4 linked regions of the Saccharomyces cerevisiae S288C genome follow. Changing the gene in region 4 together with the main gene of any one other region gives a genetic interaction. Each region holds a gene or a part of one and is shown on either strand. Other genes may lie near its edges.

Evidence for each region.
Region 1: mutations in PSP2 (region 4) and SDA1 together harm fitness more than expected from each alone (negative genetic interaction), as found in Saccharomyces cerevisiae (2 studies listed by BioGRID).
Region 2: mutations in PSP2 (region 4) and CDC43 together harm fitness more than expected from each alone (negative genetic interaction), as found in Saccharomyces cerevisiae (2 studies listed by BioGRID).
Region 3: mutations in PSP2 (region 4) and BAT1 together harm fitness more than expected from each alone (negative genetic interaction), as found in Saccharomyces cerevisiae (2 studies listed by BioGRID).

Annotation. Positions count from the first base shown.
Region 1 is NC_001139.9:978,679-984,728, reverse strand, and holds SDA1 (Sda1p), read left to right. Parts: upstream 1-2,660; coding exon 2,661-4,964; downstream 4,965-6,050. Other genes in the region: transcription factor TFIIIB subunit BRF1, read left to right, coding at 457-2,247; LSC2 (succinate--CoA ligase (GDP-forming) subunit beta), read left to right, coding at 5,410-6,050.
Region 2 is NC_001139.9:211,089-215,711, reverse strand, and holds CDC43 (protein geranylgeranyltransferase type I subunit CDC43), read right to left. Parts: upstream 1,632-4,623; coding exon 501-1,631; downstream 1-500. Other genes in the region: LYS5 (holo-[acyl-carrier-protein] synthase), read left to right, coding at 1-434; AMS1 (alpha-mannosidase), read right to left, coding at 2,045-4,623. UniProt on the Saccharomyces cerevisiae protein: Catalyzes the transfer of a geranyl-geranyl moiety from geranyl-geranyl diphosphate to proteins having the C-terminal sequence Cys-Ile-Ile-Leu or Cys-Val-Leu-Leu. Acts, among other substrates, on Rho1 and Rho2 and CDC42 proteins.
Region 3 is NC_001140.6:515,151-519,715, forward strand, and holds BAT1 (branched-chain-amino-acid transaminase BAT1), read left to right. Parts: upstream 1-2,381; coding exon 2,382-3,563; downstream 3,564-4,565. Other genes in the region: SET5 (S-adenosylmethionine-dependent methyltransferase), read right to left, coding at 1-1,335; CRG1 (S-adenosylmethionine-dependent methyltransferase), read left to right, coding at 4,287-4,565. UniProt on the Saccharomyces cerevisiae protein: Mitochondrial isozyme of branched-chain-amino-acid aminotransferase, involved in the biosynthesis of the branched chain amino acids (BCAAs) leucine, isoleucine, and valine.
Region 4 is NC_001145.3:234,536-240,435, forward strand, and holds PSP2 (Psp2p), read left to right. Parts: upstream 1-2,052; coding exon 2,053-2,056; intron 2,057-2,418; coding exon 2,419-4,196; downstream 4,197-5,900. Other genes in the region: YML018C (uncharacterized protein), read right to left, coding at 236-1,417; PPZ1 (salt homeostasis regulator), read right to left, coding at 4,923-5,900. UniProt on the Saccharomyces cerevisiae protein: DNA polymerase alpha mutation suppressor. Suppressor of group II intron splicing defects of a mutation in MRS2. May play a role in mitochondrial mRNA splicing.

The sequences.
Region 1 (6,050 bases), on a different chromosome or scaffold from region 4:
TAAGCACTTGATCACGCCTACAAAATCACTTAGTGAACAAAGGAAAATAGATTGTTTTTAAAGTTGTGAAGTAGTGAACTATGGCTTCCCACATACACATATATACTGATACAGATGCAATATAACATTTAGTGTTAGAAAAATTTGCTTCTATCTTGATGACATTGAATACTCTTGGACGTAAAAAAAGACATCCGATTAAAGTGGAGGTAATCTACAAGAAAAGTTGTTCTTCCCCTCATTAGAAATCTTGCAATGGTCACGGCCGTCGCTATCAAAAATCAACGAAGTGAAGTGACTCTAATTTTTGTCTATTAATGTTGCGATGGCCTTATTTGCTATTCTAAGGTTTTCGCGAAGTATCAGGTATGATAAAAAAAATCATATTTTTGATCGCATCAAGAACAATCCCAATGGTAAAAACGGTAATAAAAAAGAGTCCATAGTCATATACCAATGCCAGTGTGTAAGAACTGTCACGGAACCGAATTTGAGAGAGATCTTTCCAATGCTAACAACGATTTAGTTTGTAAAGCTTGTGGTGTTGTCTCAGAAGATAATCCTATCGTCTCTGAAGTTACATTCGGTGAAACAAGTGCAGGTGCTGCTGTAGTACAAGGTTCTTTTATCGGTGCAGGACAAAGTCATGCTGCATTTGGTGGTTCTAGTGCTCTAGAATCTAGAGAAGCCACATTGAACAATGCAAGAAGGAAATTACGCGCCGTTTCTTACGCATTACATATCCCGGAATATATCACAGATGCTGCTTTCCAATGGTATAAGCTTGCATTGGCTAATAACTTTGTACAAGGTCGTAGGTCCCAAAATGTTATCGCTTCATGTCTTTACGTTGCATGTAGAAAGGAAAAGACGCATCATATGCTGATCGACTTCTCTTCAAGGTTACAGGTGAGTGTGTATTCCATAGGAGCCACATTTTTGAAAATGGTAAAGAAATTACATATCACAGAATTGCCGTTAGCGGATCCTTCCTTATTCATTCAACATTTTGCCGAAAAATTGGATCTTGCTGACAAGAAGATCAAAGTGGTAAAAGATGCCGTAAAATTGGCTCAAAGAATGTCCAAGGACTGGATGTTTGAAGGACGTAGACCTGCAGGTATTGCCGGCGCATGTATTCTACTAGCTTGCAGGATGAATAATTTGAGAAGAACTCATACAGAGATCGTCGCAGTTTCACATGTCGCCGAGGAAACTTTACAGCAACGGTTGAACGAATTCAAAAATACAAAGGCTGCTAAACTTTCAGTTCAAAAATTTAGAGAAAATGATGTGGAAGACGGTGAGGCTAGGCCTCCCTCCTTTGTGAAGAACAGAAAGAAAGAAAGAAAAATAAAGGACTCTTTAGACAAAGAAGAGATGTTTCAAACAAGTGAAGAAGCATTGAATAAAAATCCAATTTTGACGCAAGTATTAGGAGAACAAGAACTGTCTTCCAAGGAAGTCCTGTTTTACTTAAAACAATTTTCAGAAAGAAGGGCCCGTGTTGTGGAGAGGATTAAGGCTACTAATGGTATAGATGGTGAAAATATATACCATGAAGGTTCTGAAAACGAAACAAGGAAACGCAAACTTTCTGAAGTTTCTATCCAGAACGAGCATGTTGAAGGGGAAGACAAAGAGACGGAAGGGACTGAGGAAAAAGTCAAGAAGGTAAAGACAAAAACATCAGAAGAAAAGAAAGAGAACGAATCTGGGCATTTTCAAGATGCCATTGATGGTTACTCTCTAGAAACAGACCCATATTGTCCTCGCAATTTACACTTGTTACCCACAACGGACACATACCTTTCGAAAGTTAGTGACGACCCAGATAATTTAGAAGATGTTGATGATGAGGAGTTAAACGCGCACCTATTAAACGAGGAAGCTTCTAAATTGAAGGAAAGAATTTGGATTGGTCTGAACGCAGATTTCTTACTTGAACAAGAGAGTAAACGTTTGAAACAGGAGGCAGATATTGCCACAGGTAACACATCAGTGAAAAAAAAACGTACGAGACGTAGGAATAATACTAGAAGTGACGAACCTACAAAAACTGTGGATGCAGCAGCAGCTATCGGATTGATGTCAGACTTACAAGATAAGTCTGGTTTACACGCTGCATTGAAGGCAGCTGAGGAAAGTGGTGATTTCACAACTGCTGATAGTGTCAAGAACATGTTGCAGAAGGCAAGTTTCTCCAAGAAGATTAATTACGACGCCATTGACGGTTTGTTTAGGTAACGTTTAGGTAATCAACCCTAGGAAGGAAAAAGGGAACGGAAATAAAGACGCAATACATTTGGTTTTGGCTAAAATATATAGAACATGAAGTGCAAAAGAATTAAAGGTGCATTAACTATTTAATATGTATGTGATTATATAAATCTAAAATCTCAATGTCGTAACAATCACTGTTCCATTAAAAAAACGGGTAAGGTGGAAATTTCAGTTTTTTTTTTTTTTCTTTTCTTTTGCTTGATCGGCTAAAAAATGAAAATTTTAAACTCATCTCATCGCAGATAACCATAACACGCTTAACAGATAGAACGTTCTACCACTAAAAAAACATATCAAACGTCACTTTTTTGAATAAGTAATAATAGTTAAGGAGGAAGCACAAGACGCACTGAATATACCAATCAAGGGCATCAACAATGGGTAGAAGAAGTAGAGCAGCTATGCTCCCAACAAATATCATTCTTTTACAGAATTTGGTAAAGCGTGACCCAGAGTCCTATCAAGAGGAGTTTCTTCAACAATATGCACATTATGAATCGCTAAGGGACATTTTTATGTTAAATGGGCTTGCTGGAGGTGATTCTGCAGCTGCCACTAATGGGCTCGATGTAGGAAATGGATCTTCTACAATGGCAGGTACTAACGGTACCACCATGAGCACTTCAACTTCGCAACTTATTGAATTGGTTGGCTTCGTATCTCAAGTCTGCTCATGTTTTCCTCGTGAAACTGCAAACTTCCCGTCTGAATTAAAGCAGCTTTTGCTGGAACACCATAAGTCCTTGCCATTTGAATTGAAAGAAAAAATCTTAAGTTGTTTGACGATGTTAAGGAATAAGGACGTCATTACTGCTGAGGAATTAATTCAAAGCTTATTTCCTTTATTGGTTGCTTACTCTTCCCATGGTAATTCACTCGGCGTTAATTCACACGCCAAGGAATTGAGGAAAATCATTTATACAAATTTAATTTCTTTATTAAAAAGTTGTAATACTAATGGTAAAAATCAAAAATTGAACAAATCTACGCAGGCCGTTTGCTTTAATTTGTTAGATCAACCAGATTCCCAGGGAATCTGGGCCACAAAATTAACCAGAGAACTTTGGAGACGTGGTATTTGGGATGATTCAAGAACAGTAGAAATTATGACCCAAGCAGCATTACATCAGGATGTTAAGATTGTCATGTCTGGTGTGATGTTTTTTTTGGATGCTGACAGAGAACGTGAAGAAAATTTTGAAGAAAATTCCGAGGATGAGGATGGGTTTGATTTAGATGCATTAAGGCATAAGATGCAAGTCAATAAAAAAACGGGTAGACGTGGTAAGAAGCTGGAGAATGCCATAAAAACTGTGAAGAAGAAGAAGAAGAACGGACCGGGTGCTCCTCAAGGGTATTTAAACTTCAGTGCTATCCACCTTTTGAGAGATCCACAAGGATTTGCCGAAAAATTGTTTAAGGAACATCTTTCAGGCAAAACGAAAAACAAATTTGACATGGAACAAAAAATATCTTTGATGCAGCTGTTATCAAGGTTGATTGGTACCCATAAGTTAATTGTTTTAGGAATTTATACTTTTTTTTTAAAGTACTTAACTCCGAAACAAAGAGATGTTACAAGAATTATGTCCGCATGTGCCCAAGCATGTCATGATCTTGTCCCTCCTGAAGTTATAAATGTCATGGTGAGAAAGATTGCAGACGAGTTTGTATCAGACGGTGTTGCCAATGAAGTCGCTGCTGCAGGCATTAATACCATTAGAGAAATATGCTCTCGTGCACCTTTGGCTATCGATGAGATTCTACTACAGGATCTGGTAGAATATAAGGGGTCTAAAGCTAAAGGTGTCAATATGGCTGCCAAGTCATTGATAGCGTTGTATAGAGACGTGGCACCAGAAATGCTAAAGAAGAAGGATCGTGGTAAGAATGCCGCCATGGAAGTACAAGAAGCCAAGAAAGGAGGTAAAGATTCAAAAAGACCGCAATTTGGTGCCGACAACAGTGTTCAAGGGATTGCTGGTATCGAACTGTTAGCCAAATGGAAGAAAGAACATGGTGAAGAGAGTGAAAATGAAGACGCTGATGCCAACTGGGAAGTAGATGTCGATAGCGAAGAAGACGATGTCGACGGTGAGTGGGTCACCATGGATAGTGATAAAGAATATGACGTTGATATGGAAGATAGTGACGATGAAAAAGACAATGCTAAGGGCAAGGAATCAGATTCCGATTTGGAACTAAGCGATGATGACGATGAAAAAGAAGTGAAGGATGAGCAAGAAGATGCAGATATAGATCCCGAAGCTGCCTTCCGTGAAATTGCTTCTACACGTATTTTAACTCCGGCAGATTTCGCTAAACTACAAGAATTGCGTAATGAGGAAAGCGTTGCTAAAATAATGGGTATCCACAAACAAGACAAGCGTGAAGAGTTAGTTGATGCAAGTACACTAACAGGCCCTATCAAATACAAACAGTCTCGTGAGGAAAGATTACAAAAGGTGTTGGAAGGTCGTGAAGGTAGAGACAAATTTGGTAGTAGACGCGGTAAGCGTGACAACATGCGTTCTACTACCAACAGAGAAAAAGAAAGAAGGAAGAACTTTGTTATGTCTATTCACAAGAGATCTGTTAGAGGTAAACAAAAAATGTCACTACGAGACAAGCAAAAAGTGTTACGTGCACACATCACCAAACAAAAGAAGAAGGGGTATTAGACGACATCGTAGCCATATTAATATATACATACATATACACAGATACATTCATCTCTCCAACTGTATGAGGACTTCTCTACCTTGAATGGAACACCAAAGCCAGGTAGATACTAAAAAAAACTCTTTTTATGTCTTGGTACAGAGAAAAATGCTCCAACTGGTATCGATTATGTGTTCATCGGGAATTCTCGGCTTTTCCCCGCAGCGGCGGAGTGAGTATTCTAAAAGTTGGTTGGCCTTTCAATTGCCGCGTAGTCAACATCTTTGAGGTTTTATATAAGATCGACGTTTTCCTTATCAGCACTTTGACGTTTTCTCTCGAAAAATAACAGTGACTATAGAGCGATAGTCCAGTTTTTTTGTAACTGACTTTTAGGTAGTTAGGATTAATAAGGATTGAGTCAATACAATCGAAAAAAATACTGAAGCATTGCAACTGAACAAAATGTACTCAAGAAAATCCTTATCCCTAATTTCAAAGTGTGGGCAATTAAGCAGGCTAAACGCGCAAGCTGCTTTACAAGCAAGGAGACACTTGTCAATTCATGAATACAGGTCAGCTCAGTTATTGAGGGAATACGGTATTGGTACTCCAGAAGGATTTCCAGCGTTCACTCCCGAAGAGGCTTTCGAAGCAGCCAAGAAATTAAACACTAACAAACTGGTCATCAAGGCGCAGGCATTGACCGGAGGTAGAGGTAAAGGTCACTTCGACACCGGTTACAAAAGCGGTGTTCACATGATCGAAAGTCCTCAGCAGGCAGAGGATGTTGCAAAAGAAATGCTCAATCATAACCTGATTACTAAACAGACGGGAATAGCGGGGAAGCCAGTATCTGCTGTATATATAGTGAAAAGAGTAGATACAAAGCATGAAGCTTATTTATCTATTCTAATGGACAGACAAACCAAGAAACCGATGATCATTGCGTCCAGTCAAGGTGGTATGAATATTGAAGAGGTGGCTGAGAGAACCCCAGATGCTATAAAGAAATTTTCAATTGAAACTTCAAAGGGATTGAGCCCACAAATGGCCAAGGATGTTGCCAAGAGTCTCGGTTTCAGTCCCGATGCACAAGACGAGGC
Region 2 (4,623 bases), on a different chromosome or scaffold from region 4:
AATACCAGGATGTCGGAATTGATATCGCTTCTCCGTGCAATTATGGCGGGAGGGAAGAGTTGGAGCTATTTAAAGAAGTTTTTAGTGAAAGAGAATTTAACGGTTTACTGAAAGCGTCTGATCCATGCACAATATTTACTTACTTATGGTCCTTGAAGGAGTCGTATACAAAATTTACTGGAACTGGCCTTAACACAGACTTGTCACTAATAGATTTTGGCGCTATCAGCTTTTTTCCGGCTGAGGGAGCTTCTATGTGCATAACTCTGGATGAAGTTCCATTGATTTTCCATTCTCAATGGTTCAATAACGAAATTGTCACTATCTGTATGCCAAAGTCCATCAGTGATAAAATCAACACGAACAGACCAAAATTATATAATATCAGCTTATCTACGTTGATTGATTATTTCATCGAAAATGATGGTTTATAATGCCAATTTTTTTTTTTCGCTTGCTCACATTTATGTAATCGATAGACTCTTATTACTGTTTGAACTTCAAAAACAGCACCTTTTACTAAAATCATTAAATATTTCTTGAGGTATGCATAATTCTCCATTAAATTTCCCCTCAATTAATGCTAACGCAGCGCTCCCTAGACAGCTGTGATATAAATCAGCATCTTCTTCGTCATTTTTACTAAAGCCTCCAGTTAATGTTTTTTGCGTTCGATCAAGCAAATAATTTGTGACTAGTTCAGTTTGGCATAGCATTTTCCAATCCTTTGTTAGTAAGTGTAGTGAATTTAAGCACCAAAATGCGTAACACGTATCAGCGAACTTGTTCTCCCTTCCCTGGAAACCGCCATCATCAGATTGATCATAGCTGGCATTCAATTCGCTTTCAAATTTCATACATCCATGGCTTGATACTTGCCTATGTAATAGCCAGGTTATGGTGTCTTCTTTAAACTTGTCTGATAGCTTTTCCAAACTAGAGAGTAAAGCTAAGGTAGACAGCGCACAAGATGTGTACCCTGAGTGTGGTTCATTGTGGGCACCGAAAGCTCCGTTGTAGCATTGTTGCGACATTATATAGCCAAGCAACTTCTCAGTATCAATGTATTCATCAAAGTCTTCTTTGGATCGGCATCCGCATATGTACAGAATGGCAACTGCGATGTAGCAAAACCTTAAATCGTCTGAATCAACCGAAGATCCACAATTTGTCTTATAGTCTAAACAAGATACAAACGAGCCACGGTCAGGTCGTTGGCACTTAGAAACAAATCTCGCCAGGCTTCTTTTGTCTAGTATAGTCTCAAAATACTCGTAATCTCTCAGCATAATCATGGACAACAATGCAAAGAGAGTATTTGGTAGATTAATCGTTGTTGCGTGAGGGATATTCATGACTAAGCTTCCAACAAATCCAGATATCACAGTATTTTCTGTATCATCCAGCACTGTTTTGATATAATGTTTGCGCATCCAGCCAAGATGATCGCCGTACTTCGCAGAAACGTTAACATCAAATATAGAGAGTCCTGAGATTGAGTAGAATATTATCGCCATTCTGTTCACGTCATGTCCCTGATGTGAAGAGGGAAGCAACTGTAGATGTCTTTCGAAAAATTTCCTATGCTTTTTAGTCACAACTCTACTCGGGCCATTGGTAGCTTGACACATTTTTCCACGATATAGCGGTGGGCAGAAGTGCTTGAAAGTACTTGTTCACGTTGGATAAATAAAGGTTTTCTTAAAATTGAAATTTAAATTGCTAGAGATGACTTGGGGGTTAGTGACCAAGTAATAGTTTTGAACTGGCGGGTGTTTTGATTGTATACTATAGTCACTGAAACTATTGCTTTTCCATTCTTCCAAGGCGCAACAACTCAGAAAAAAAAAAACAAGTGAATAAAACAGGTAAAAAAGAAGATCATTTAAAGGTTTTACAAGTGTGATATAAATTTTATTTTTTTGCTTTTTTATTTAGCATTATTTACTTATATGTATTTTGTTAAGACTATTTTTGGTTATCATGATAGAAATGGCATAAGTTTGGGAGTGAGTGAATGTAAAAAACAGTGAGGGAGACAAACTCAGAAATACAACCTGAATGAGGCAATCTCAAAAGGTCTCAATTTAATGGGAATTCTGTTTATTGCATGATTTGATTCGTCTCGCGTTGCTGTCAAACTCTTATAAACTTTCATCTCCAAGTTATCGACCTTCTCAATACGCTTCAAATTTAGTGTGGTATTTAGTGAAGCAAAAGATTCCCCGCCAAGAGATTCGTAAACCCTTACCACAATACTTTGTTCATCCCTTGGATTTAATGAATAGTTGGACTTGACAGCACTATCATCTTCGCCTCTTTTTATGTTAGACAAAATGACATTCTCATCTCCGGAAATGCTTATGATGTCATCAAAATTCATGCCAATATCTTTGGGGAGTTTGTATTTGAAGCAATAATTGAATTCGTGAGCGAGCTTAACAGTGTCGCTTGATAGTGCTCCTCTATGTGGATAGATAGCATATTTTATCTCATGAGTACCCATATCAGCATGCGCATCCGGAGCCTTTGGTGACCTTAATAATGATAATCTCATCAAGTTACCGTGTGTGGAAAACCCATATTTGCAATCGTTCAAAATTGAAACACCCTTGCTGTATTCAGAATAATCAGCAAATTTGTGATGGCAAACCTCAAATTTAGCGACGTCCCATGAGGTATTATAATGTGTTGGTCTTTTGGTAATCCCGAATTGAGTTTCATACGAAGCAAAATCGTTCCGAATATTAACGGGAAATTCAACTTTTAAAAATTTGTTTCTAGCATCCCAGTTTTCTACCGTCGTAGAAATGTCTACTTTACTTAATTTAGCATCAGTGACCGCAGTTGCATTGAGTGATATCACTGATTTGATTTTGCATTTTTCGGAAATTTGAAAAATGACCTCAACAGCACATTTCTCTTTTGTGTTGCAGGAAACTTGAACTTTCTTCGGCTTTGTTACATACTTGTATTGGTTGACGGAATAAAGTTCAGTATCCCAAGCCTGCCAGCCCAAAGGTTTATCATCATAAATAACAAACTGGTTGGCGCCCAATTTGTTTCTGCCATGTTCCGTGTCCAGGTATTCTACCCCCAAAGTTTCATCCGTAATGCTTGTGATCACCCCAGTCTTTTTGCAAATGATAACTTTCAACTTCCCATTGGCAAGGACTATATAGTCATCGTACCCGGTTACAGAGGACGTGTAACTACCGTTCAACGAGCACTCCTCAGAAACCTTTTCTGGTTTTGACCAAGTTAATGTTCTCATCTCAACCAAATCTGCCTTACTCTGACTCTGAAGAAATTGAACGGTTTTGTCTATTAAGGAAGTACATTCTTTCACAACGTTGTGCAACATAGGGACAGCCTCATACTTATATACCATTTCAATACATGATCCTGGTAGAACATCGTGAAATTGACATAACAAAACATTCTCCCAAAGTTCGTTAATCTGTTTGGAAGGGTATTTATACGAATCGGGATATAAAACTGATGTTTTGGCAGCTATCCATTCCAAATCATGTAGTTTAATTTCGGACAACCTCATTAATTTTTTGGTCTGAGCTTGACTGGTGTATGTCCCCCTATGAAATTCGAAATACAATTCACCACTCCATGTGGGTAAATCATGGCCTTGGTTAGTCCTTTTCAAAATGTCATCATAAAATTCATCAACCGTTATACCAACTTGTAACTTTGGAATAACATTACCATTTCTGTTATTCATGGATCTAATACGCCTCATTTTTTGCAGCATTTCCTCAGTTGGTCCTCCACCACCATCACCCTTTCCGTACAACATTAAACCGGAGCCGTAATATTCTGGTGTCTTATTCTGCTTGGCAGTACGCAAAACATCACCGAAGTGTGAATCTGCTGTATACGTATTACCAGGAGGCATGTGAGTCAATAATTGAGAACCGTCAATCCCTGCCCAGTTAAACGTGCTATGCGGAAAACTGTTGATGTTATTCCAGGAAAGCTTTTGAGTCAAAAATTTATCAATACCAGATAAGCGGCAAAGTTGTGGCATTTGCGAAGAATAACCAAAGGTGTCAGGTAACCAAAATATCTTTGACTTGAGACCAAAATGCTTCAAGAAAAACCTTTGACCAAAAAAGAATTGCCTTGCCAGCGATTCCCCTGAGGGAATATTGGTATCATTCTCAACCCATGTACCACCAACAGCAAAAAACTGAGATTGCTGAATTTTTGGAATTAACACTTTATTGAAAAATTCGGGATGATCTTCTAATAACCATTTAAATTGTTGGGCTTGTGAAGCAACAAATTTATACTCTGGGAAGCGATCCATTAAAGTACATTGGGAAGACCAAGATCTCACAATTTTCCTTCTTGTTTCTGCGAATGGCCATAGCCAAGCTGTATCTATATGACAGTTGCCGATACCATAAACATTTGTTAAAACTTGAGATTCACCTTGTTCGTAAACCTTACTGCTTTCTAAAAAGGAGTCAAAGTATTCCCTTTGTAGTAATTCACGACATTTACGAACACTTGAACGATCATTCGGGTCAAAAAGATTCATAACTGCATTGCCTAGTTGTCTTGCCTGGTGTTTTTGCCAGGAGTCTCCAGGTAGCTCTCTTGCAG
Region 3 (4,565 bases), on a different chromosome or scaffold from region 4:
CTTTTTCTCTAGATTTGGAACTCTTTCAAATGTAGATAGTTCATTTTGACAGCGGTCACACTGGCATAAGAAGCCCCAGTTAACTCTTAATTCCCTACGCCTCAACCTCACCCCATGTAAGGGATTGACGTACGTAATACGTATTTGTTCCCCCTTCTTTATTGGTTTCCTTGCATGCAACCTCAGTTCCTCATGTTCTTCTACTTGCTCAATATAGGCGTTTGGTTCACAATCATGGTTTATGAAGGAGATCCAATGATATACCTGGCCGTTATATTGATTGATATTGAACGTCCCGATCATGGTCAAAAATTTCTCGAAATCTATTTCTTCAGAAGCTTTTGGAAATGCACCGCAAAATAATTCGTAGCACTTCTCCCAAACAGTCTCGTCATCAATATTCTTCTCAACGCCCTTTTTGGTACCATTATCAGATTCCTCTTCAGTATGTACAGTTGTACCATTCAGTAAACTAAACGTACTGCCGATACCGCTGGCGTCTCTTAATTTAATTCTTTCCCTTTGTGAGATGCTTGCCAATTTTTGCCATTGCTCTTTGACCTCTCCTGTAGTATCCAAAAGCATGGATCCATATATAAGACCAACTGAAAAGGCAGCGGTAAAACAATATTTCTCACAGTAGTTAACAAATCTTTTCCAATTACCAGCATGAAGAATGTCTATTCTATTCGATCTCCATGAGTGGTATAAAAGCTCATGTAACGACGCATGTGCTTTTTTACATTTTTCACTGCACCAAATAGCTTTGCAAACTTCACAATCCAAATAATGGACCATAATTTTGTGCTGGGTCAAATCATATAGCGCCTTACCACATCGAGCACATGCCTTTCCATTAGATATTAAAAAAAGCTTGTCCAGTGGTGGAATATATACGATAGGTTTATTTTCTTTCAGGATGATTTGGCCCTTGGAAAAATCTCTTTTAGCGAAAAGGCCCCTTCCATGTTCGTCATCAATAAATTTCACTTCGACCTTAGCATCAGAATCTAGGGCTTTTGGAAAATGTATTTTATCTTTATATAGAGAAACGGTCTCTAGATCTGTGTCATAAAGATGGTGCTCATTTAGAATTTTTCGAAAACGAGAAGCACTCAATTTCCACGATTGATTTCTTTCCGTAATCCTGTCATAAAGATGCTGAATCGTAGCGTCTTCAGTTCCGGGCTCTTCCTTCCATAACAAAACTACGTCATCACAGATCTCTTCCTCTGTGGGAGTTATCTTTCGAAAATCAGAGCCATTTTCTGTACCATTATGCACTGCAGATTGATCGCTATCGTTTAAGGTTCCTATTTTGATAGTCAATGTCATTTTTGTGCCACTTTTCGTTATTTTGTATCAGTGCACGCTTGGTTATTTACCTATTTAGCTTCTATTGTTATATGGAGAAGTTCCCCATGATTATGATATCAAGAAAGAAAAAGAAAAAGAAAAATAATACGAAAAAAAAAATTACGAAGCTAAAATAAAAAAAATTACGGCAAGGAAAGGGTTTACTGATAAAATTTGTTATCATTCTTGCTAGTCAGTAAGAGCATATCTGCTCAAGTAGACAAGGGAAACTATCGCAGGTGGTCCGGAAAGTACTTGACAATCAAATGCTCGTCTGAAAGCCAATGAGGAAAACTTGTAGACTGTACTAATTTTTCAAGAGAAAGAAAGATACCGTATGTTTGACTATTCTAACGAGATTTATGCTACAAACTCCTCGAGAAGCAAACTGAGGTAGAATTACCCACCCACAGCGCGATAAGTCACATTGGCGCCCTGGACTTGACGAATACTCCTATCAATAGTAAGGCTCGCAAACCGCCCGTCCATATCAAGCCATTAAATTCTGTTATTATCCTTAAAAGTGAAATGCGCACCACAAGCTTGATGGCATTTCCTTCTGCACTTCTCAAATTGATAGCATTGCCTTGCGAGCAGTAGATAATTTAGATAAAGTGTATCTTGCCAGGGCCTTCCCAGGCATTAACTAGATAATGTGTTCTTTTTTAGCTGAACTGTAAAGCGTAAATGTTAACGCTGGATAAGTACCGCGTGTACGGTTGATTGAATGATCTTACTGATAGAGGCCAGGCGGTTGATACTTTGTGCAGATTTCATACCGGCTGTCGCTATTATTACTGATGAATTGGCTCTCTTTTTGTTTAATGGCCCATCCGATCCATATTGCCTTCTTATGACTCAAAATTCTATTGTGTTTGCCGGTACCGGCCTTTAAGCTTTGAAAAAAAAAAAGCATCTGAAAAAAATGGCACTATAAAGAGAGCTAGTGGTAACAACTACATGTTTTCGTTAGAATAAATCACCCTATAAACGCAAAATCAGCTAGAACCTTAGCATACTAAAACATGTTGCAGAGACATTCCTTGAAGTTGGGGAAATTCTCCATCAGAACACTCGCTACTGGTGCCCCATTAGATGCATCCAAACTAAAAATTACTAGAAACCCAAATCCATCCAAGCCAAGACCAAATGAAGAATTAGTGTTCGGCCAGACATTCACCGATCATATGTTGACCATTCCTTGGTCAGCCAAAGAAGGGTGGGGCACTCCACACATCAAGCCTTACGGTAATCTTTCTCTTGACCCATCTGCTTGTGTATTCCATTATGCATTTGAATTATTTGAAGGTTTGAAAGCCTACAGAACTCCTCAAAATACTATCACCATGTTCCGTCCGGATAAGAACATGGCCCGTATGAACAAGTCTGCCGCTAGAATTTGTTTGCCAACTTTCGAATCTGAAGAATTGATCAAACTTACCGGGAAATTGATCGAACAAGATAAACACTTGGTTCCTCAAGGTAATGGTTACTCATTATACATCAGACCAACAATGATTGGTACATCCAAGGGTTTAGGTGTTGGCACTCCCTCCGAGGCTCTTCTTTATGTTATTACTTCTCCAGTCGGTCCTTATTATAAGACTGGTTTCAAAGCCGTACGTCTTGAAGCAACAGACTATGCTACAAGAGCTTGGCCAGGTGGTGTTGGCGACAAAAAATTGGGTGCTAACTATGCCCCATGCATCTTACCTCAACTACAAGCTGCCAAAAGAGGGTACCAACAAAATCTATGGTTGTTCGGCCCAGAAAAGAACATCACTGAGGTTGGTACTATGAACGTGTTCTTCGTTTTCCTCAACAAAGTCACTGGCAAGAAGGAATTGGTTACCGCTCCATTAGATGGTACCATTTTAGAAGGTGTTACCAGAGACTCTGTTTTAACATTGGCTCGTGACAAACTAGATCCTCAAGAATGGGACATCAACGAGCGTTATTACACTATTACTGAAGTCGCCACTAGAGCAAAACAAGGTGAACTATTAGAAGCCTTCGGTTCTGGTACTGCTGCTGTCGTTTCACCTATCAAGGAAATTGGCTGGAACAACGAAGATATTCATGTTCCACTATTGCCTGGTGAACAATGTGGTGCATTGACCAAGCAAGTTGCTCAATGGATTGCTGATATCCAATACGGTAGAGTCAATTATGGTAACTGGTCAAAAACTGTTGCCGACTTGAACTAATGATAATGAAGGTAAACATCCCCTCCCCCCCCAAAAAAAAAAAACGAGAATTCCTCTCAGAGGATCTGTTTTTCTCTCACTTTATTCACATAGATACATACTTTTTTACAATTCCTGTTGAGTTTATTTATTATAAGAAATATTGGATTACTATTATTATTATAGCTTATGCAAGCCATTGTGCGGCTTCTTACGCTTTTTGAAATTGTTGACCTAACAACTTGGCACATTATTGAATTTCATAGAGACTGCTTGTAATTTAGTTGCCAAGGTATCTCGCTGGACTTTACATGTAAAATGAATGCGGCAAGATACCCAAGAGAGTTGATTATGCCAAAAAAAAAAAATCTATAAGGATATCCCTGGTATTTTCTGAAGAATAAATTCTAGCGTAGTTCAGAAGAGGTGCAAGTACAGTATGAATAATGGTATGCCTTCCATCATCGTGGCATACAGGTTCAGGCATGAAGAGATGATTATGTTCCCTCACCGGTCCATAATCCTGATTTAAACAGTTCATTAGTATATGTTCAGCCAACACAACAACGAGAAGCTTTGTAGTGAAAGTTTTCCACGATCTATATTTAGCATTCTAATTAGCGGCCCCAAGGGAACGTATATAAACATAAACAAACGGCACGAACTAAAGGGGCAAATTCAAGTTAACCCTTTTACACTCAGTACATCTTCAAAGCCAGTCTTCTGTCAATGGAAGAATCCAGAATGCCTAAAACTAGTTATTTAAACAAAAATTTTGAATCTGCTCACTATAATAACGTACGTCCCTCTTACCCTTTATCTTTAGTCAATGAGATAATGAAATTTCACAAAGGCACACGCAAAAGTTTGGTTGATATTGGATGTGGCACAGGAAAAGCAACTTTTGTCGTTGAACCCTATTTTAAGGAAGTGATTGGGATTGATCCTTCTTCTGCTATGCTTTCGATTGCTGAGAAAGAAACAAATGAACGTAGATTAGATAAAAAGATTAGATTTATTAAT
Region 4 (5,900 bases):
ATAAGGTTTGTATGAAGCCAACGAGATACTTTTTCTCTTATTGAAAATTCTTTTGGCCTCTGTTTTGTTAGTCTGGATACTGAAAAAAATGTTTAAGATTATTAAATCACACAGGAATGAAATTGTTATTAGAAAAATTATAATATACATTCTATATAGGGAAAAATTTCTTCTGACTTTGAAATTTAGATGCTAATAGTTTTTTTTATTATTTCTATTTTTTTTTTTTTTAAGATCAGTTGTTTGCTGCTGGCACCTCCACTGATTCGTAATTGCTAGCCGTTATTGAGTTCTCAAAATGTTCCTCCTCAGAGCTTTTGTTAATGATGAAAAATGAGCCTAAGATGAGGGTAGCACCAAATAAATAGAGCGCAGACATGGTTTTGTGCTTAAAGATTACATCACCAAACATTGCTAGGGGTATCGTTATGCTCAATCCTACGGTGACGGTTAAAGGACTCGTTAGTAACATAGCCTTTGCCCAACAAAAGTCGCTAACAAATGTGATGAGACAATTGACGAAGATTATTACCACAACTTTAGGATCTTTGGGCAGAGAGAATGGTTCCCAGCCAAAAAAGTCCAATACAATCAGTGATGGCCATAGAAAAAGTAAATTAAAGAGACCAACAAAGCCAAAAAAAATCTTCATGTTAACACGAGTCTCATCTCCGACTTCTCTCTTCAATAAAGTACTGTAGACACCGTAAAGTACAGCACCTGCAAGTGCCAACAAGTTGCCTATCAGAACTTGCACGGCATCGTTATCATCACCACTAACGTCCGCGATATGGCGTTGGTAGCGCTGATGAGAATCTGATTTGGTGACCATGATTATGCCTACAAAGGAAATGAACGACCCGAGTACTTTGGACTTGCTCAACGATTCAACATGACAAATAGCACCTATGAACAAGGTGAAAAAGGAAGAAGTAGTGGAGAGGATTGTCTGCGATGCCACCGATGTGAATGCCAGCGAGGCATTGGTCACAAGGTTAGCTGTGAACCAAAGTATGCAGAACTCAGCACTTAACTTGATTGTTTCATATAACGTTAGCCTCTTCTTTTGGTTGGCATGCGTGCCTGCTTCAAGGTTTGTAAGCAGTGGGCTAGTCATATCAACCGAGCGATTGCTATCACTACCAGTACCTTCTTCCTCCATAATTAGTTCGCGGTGAACGTTTGCACGGCCTGTGTCCTTGTAATTCACCACAACGGCCTTTGCAGTTGGAAAAAGATAAAAGATAAAGGCGGCAGTATTGGTGTACGTGATAAAGAATGGTTTTCTATACGAGTCATCCTCGAAGATCAAATTTATCAGGAAGGACGATAAAACCCACAAAATAATGACTAGACCCAACATCAGAAGACCCAAGGTCCACCTCTTATTAAAGGACGTTTGATCCTTCGACACCATGGCTCTGTTGAACTTTTATCTGAGAGAGGAAAAAAAGGAAGGAAAAAAAAGAAGAAACTTCCTTTATTTATTTGTCTTAACCACAACACACAATGCAATAAGATGCAATATAATATCAAAGCCAATATCTTATGTTGCTGATCCTGAGAAGGAATATATACAATTTATGTAGTAAAATACCTTTTCTTCTGCGAGTTGCAAGAAATAGAAAAGACTCCGATTGCGCATCGCCAGAATAAAATTTCACAACCACACTTTTTGGCTGAACTTTTTATTACCTGATTAAACAGAGAGAGAAAAGGTAGAGGTCAAAATTTTTTAAGCAAAACTAAAAAAGATGCAAAATCACGTGCTGAAAATCTAACATAAGGGTTAAGATTAGAGTTTTATAGGACTTGTTTTGTAATATTTCAAATACGAGCTAACCCTACTGATTTCAATTAGGTCTAATTTAGGGTTGAGCTGCACTGAAATTTCGGAAATTTTGGGTTATTTTAAATGAGACAGAAGAACTACAGAGATACGTTCTTCAGACTTTAAAGCTTATCTCCACAAAGAATTGGTCAAGAAATCATCCTAGAAAAACACGTTTGCTCACTCGATCTTAATCACATAGAGTGCTGGAACGGGAAGAAATGGGTATGTGCCTCGGTTTTTCTCATTAACCCCTTTTGATCCATAACGGTCCTCTTTTGTTTCCTTTTTTTTTTTTGTTTTAGTATTTTATGTTTACTATTTTCTTCTGTTTCAGTCATACGTAGGAATTATTGCATGAAAGAGGATATAATATTCATGTGGATTTTTAAGAAAATAGATCAAGTTTAAATAGCCACTAACAATTGAACAATGCTCTCTCTTGGCCTCTTTTCTTCTTTTTTATCGTTTCTCTAAAAATCAAGCTGATTAGACATGGTCTTGCAATGTTTTTGCTTTCTCTAATCAGCTTGGTTTTCCGCAAAGAAGAGAAAGTCACGGAATTGTCTACATATGTTTCTATTCAGGAACAAATAATACATCTAATAATAATGGCACTACGAAGAAAATGTCCCTAGAAGAATTTCTAGGGAACGACACTTTAGGCGAGTCAGTATGGGATGAGGAAGATATTAATTTGGATGCTATAAGCAATACTACGAATATTGACATCTTGAAACAAACCAAGGCAGGCGAACATCAACGTGATGGTCACCAACAGCACCCACACGGTGGTCATGGACCCATGAACAGATCACGTTTTTCTAATGCAGGGCCTTTTGGTGGTGGTAGCATGGGGGACTTTGCAAATCATCACCACCCGCTGCAGCATCAGCAAGGTCCTCCTTATATTGTGAAGTTTTCTGATTTACCACCGAGATTTTCCAACTTTGACATTGAAGATCTTTTTCAAGCAAAGTTTACCAAGTTTATTAAGTTCAAACTGTTTTGGGAGATAAATAAAAATCCAAGTATTTCTACTTTGAAATCGGGGTCAATCTTTGATCAAAATTTCAAACGTGACTCGAAGGTAGCATTTGTCGAGTTATATACATCCCGTGATATGGACAAAATTTTGAACTATTGGACCACTCCTTTGAAGGAAATTTACCACATTACAACAGCGCCCGCAGAATTCGAAGATTTTAAGGATTACAGCACGAAGGTGAAATTATTAACAGACCCTAAAGACGATGCTGGCAAACCATTCATTACTAAGACTCAGCGGTCAAAATCCAATCCTTTTGGAAGTGCTAAACCGGTTGATACGCAATCGAAGATTTTGGACATTGAAGAAAAAATGGAAAATTTACACGTGGAAGATACAACAACCCTGAGGGCATCATTAATCCCTAGTAGTGATTCTATGGCAACCACTGCAACAGGCAGCAAGATCACAATCTTGAAAAAGCAGACACCTACAGAGGAGGAATCACATTCTGCAACCCCAACTCCCAAACCTTTAAGTTACTCTGAAGTAGTTGAGAGATCTGTGGTCAATGAAACTTCCAAGAAAGGAACTCCATTAAGCAAGCTTGACTCACCAGCTCTTGAACTACAATCTAAGCCCGATAAATCGGACGAGTTCAAAGGTGGCGATGAACAAGGCTTTGAGAAAGGTGGCGACGATAAAGCTCAATTAGATGTCTCAAATGATAAAGATAAAGGTTCAGAAACCGATGTTGATAAACAGTTCACTTTCAAGAATGTGGAAAGGGAACATAGTATGAGCAGAACCAAATATAACGGAAACCATAATAACAATAATGGCAATTTTAGAGGGAGTAATAGATATCGTGGAGGCCCCAATGGCAGCAGTTATAAAGGTGGGCATAACAATCGTGGTAATCGCGGCGGATATCGTGGTGGCAGCTCATACAACAACAACAACAACAACACTAATGATAATAATAATAATAATAATAATAGTAGTAGTAATAATAATAACGGTTCAAGATATCATGATCGACAAAACAATGAAGAAGGGTTAACCTCGGATTCATCTTTAGATGCCTCAGGAAATAAAAAGAATGATTTCACGAACTCAACATCCAATACACAACAATATTCCATTTTCAAACCAGCAAGTGGGTTCCTTGGCCAAGGTAATAATGATTCTATAAGGAACAATGGACGCGGTAACTATAACAGCAGCGGTATGAATGGAGGTTCGAGAGGAAGAGGATTTGGCAGAGGAAGGGGATTTGGCAGAGGCGCATATAACAATCGAGGTAGTCGTGGTGGACGTGGAAGCAGCGGTAACTACTCCAACTACAATAACAGAACAACAGACATGCCTTTATGAGTCATGTACTGACCCATTAATTTTCTTTTCTCTTTTTTTTTTTTTTTTTTTTTTTTCCTCTATTTCCTTTTTTTGTTCTAGTCGGTTACGCAGTTCTGAGTAATGTAATATAGCGTTCCTTTTCCTCTCAGATTTTTTTGACCTTATTTTGTTTCCACTTTTTACTACTTATGCTGCTTTTTGTCCATTTCCCCTTCAGTTGTTTTGAATTTTTTTTTTAAAAAAAATTCGTCTTTCTGATTAATCAATTTTGATTATATATTTTCTCTTGATTAGTTCACAATTTTTATAGGCCCTTATTTCTTAAAGAAGTTTTATGAAGTTTCGTAAGTATTGGGGGGGTTGAAAATAATCTCTCACGTTATACGCAATAAAAAATTAAAATTAAGGAGAACCAATCTATAGAAACGAACCATTGAATTTAGCTATATGACTATATACCATTACGTAATTTATATAAACAGCTTAATATAGCGAAAGCAAAGTAGAACGAAATTTCGGAGAGTTCTAGATTGTATAGAGCGAATGAGCATTCAATACACACGCGAAGGCAGTAGGCGATGAAAGGAAGTTTTTTAATGTCATTAAGAAAAAGATAGGGAACTTCTATTTCCTGTCTTTCATATATATATATATATATATATATATATATATGTGCATATGTACATCGTTGAGTTGTTCATGAAATAATGAATATAATACTTCTGGATTTTTTAGTCAGTAAATTTACTGTTGAGATTCGTTATCATTTGTGATGCTTGTTTCCATCATTTGCTGTTGTTGATTAGCCAGTTTTCTTTCCTGTCTACCTTTCTTCATAACTTGCTTCAAAGCTGCACTATCTAGTGGATCTAACAATTCAAAAGAGCACAATAAACCTTCGCTGACGCTCATTACAGCCCCCCAATTATCAAATTCACCACAATAATTTGGCGCGGAAAACACCGTAACGAGACTTCTATCATTGAAAAATTCATAACCGTCTTCCACAACCATGTGAGCTCTACAAACCAAATCAAACCCAAACTTGTTCAAGAATTTGTTAATTGCCACCTTATTATAACAGTAACTTACACCACGTTCGTTATCCTCCCATTCGTTGGGTGAATCTGTGGGATCGGACCACAAAAGATCATTAATTAAGCCAAAATCTGGTACATCAGTAGGCCTAACTACATGTCTGATTTCATCCATAGAATTTAAAACTGGCGACAATCCACCATGAACACAAAAAATCTTTCCGGCTACGATAGCAGCTAATGGTAATGTATTAAAAGTATCGATGAATGTCTTCCAGATCTTGATGTTACAACGACGTTTACATTCATCATAAAATCCATAAACCCTTGTGACGTTAGCACATTCATGGTTGCCTCTCAATAAAAAGAAATTTTCAGGGTATTTTATTTTGTAACAAAACAATAGTAAAATAGTCTCCAGTGACTGTTTACCACGGTCCACATAATCACCTAGGAATAAATAGTTCGAGGATGGTGGGAACCCACATTTGGTAAAAAGCCTTAAGAGATCCCCATATTGGCCATGAACGTCGCCTACAATTTTTACAGGAGGTGATAATTCTAATAAGGAAGGTTGAGAAAGAAAGATTTCACGAGCCTTGATGCAAATCTGTAAAATTTCATTGTTCTTCAAACAAACATTTTTTGTTCTCTTAGCAGCGTAGCCCGCATCCAGTAATTTTTG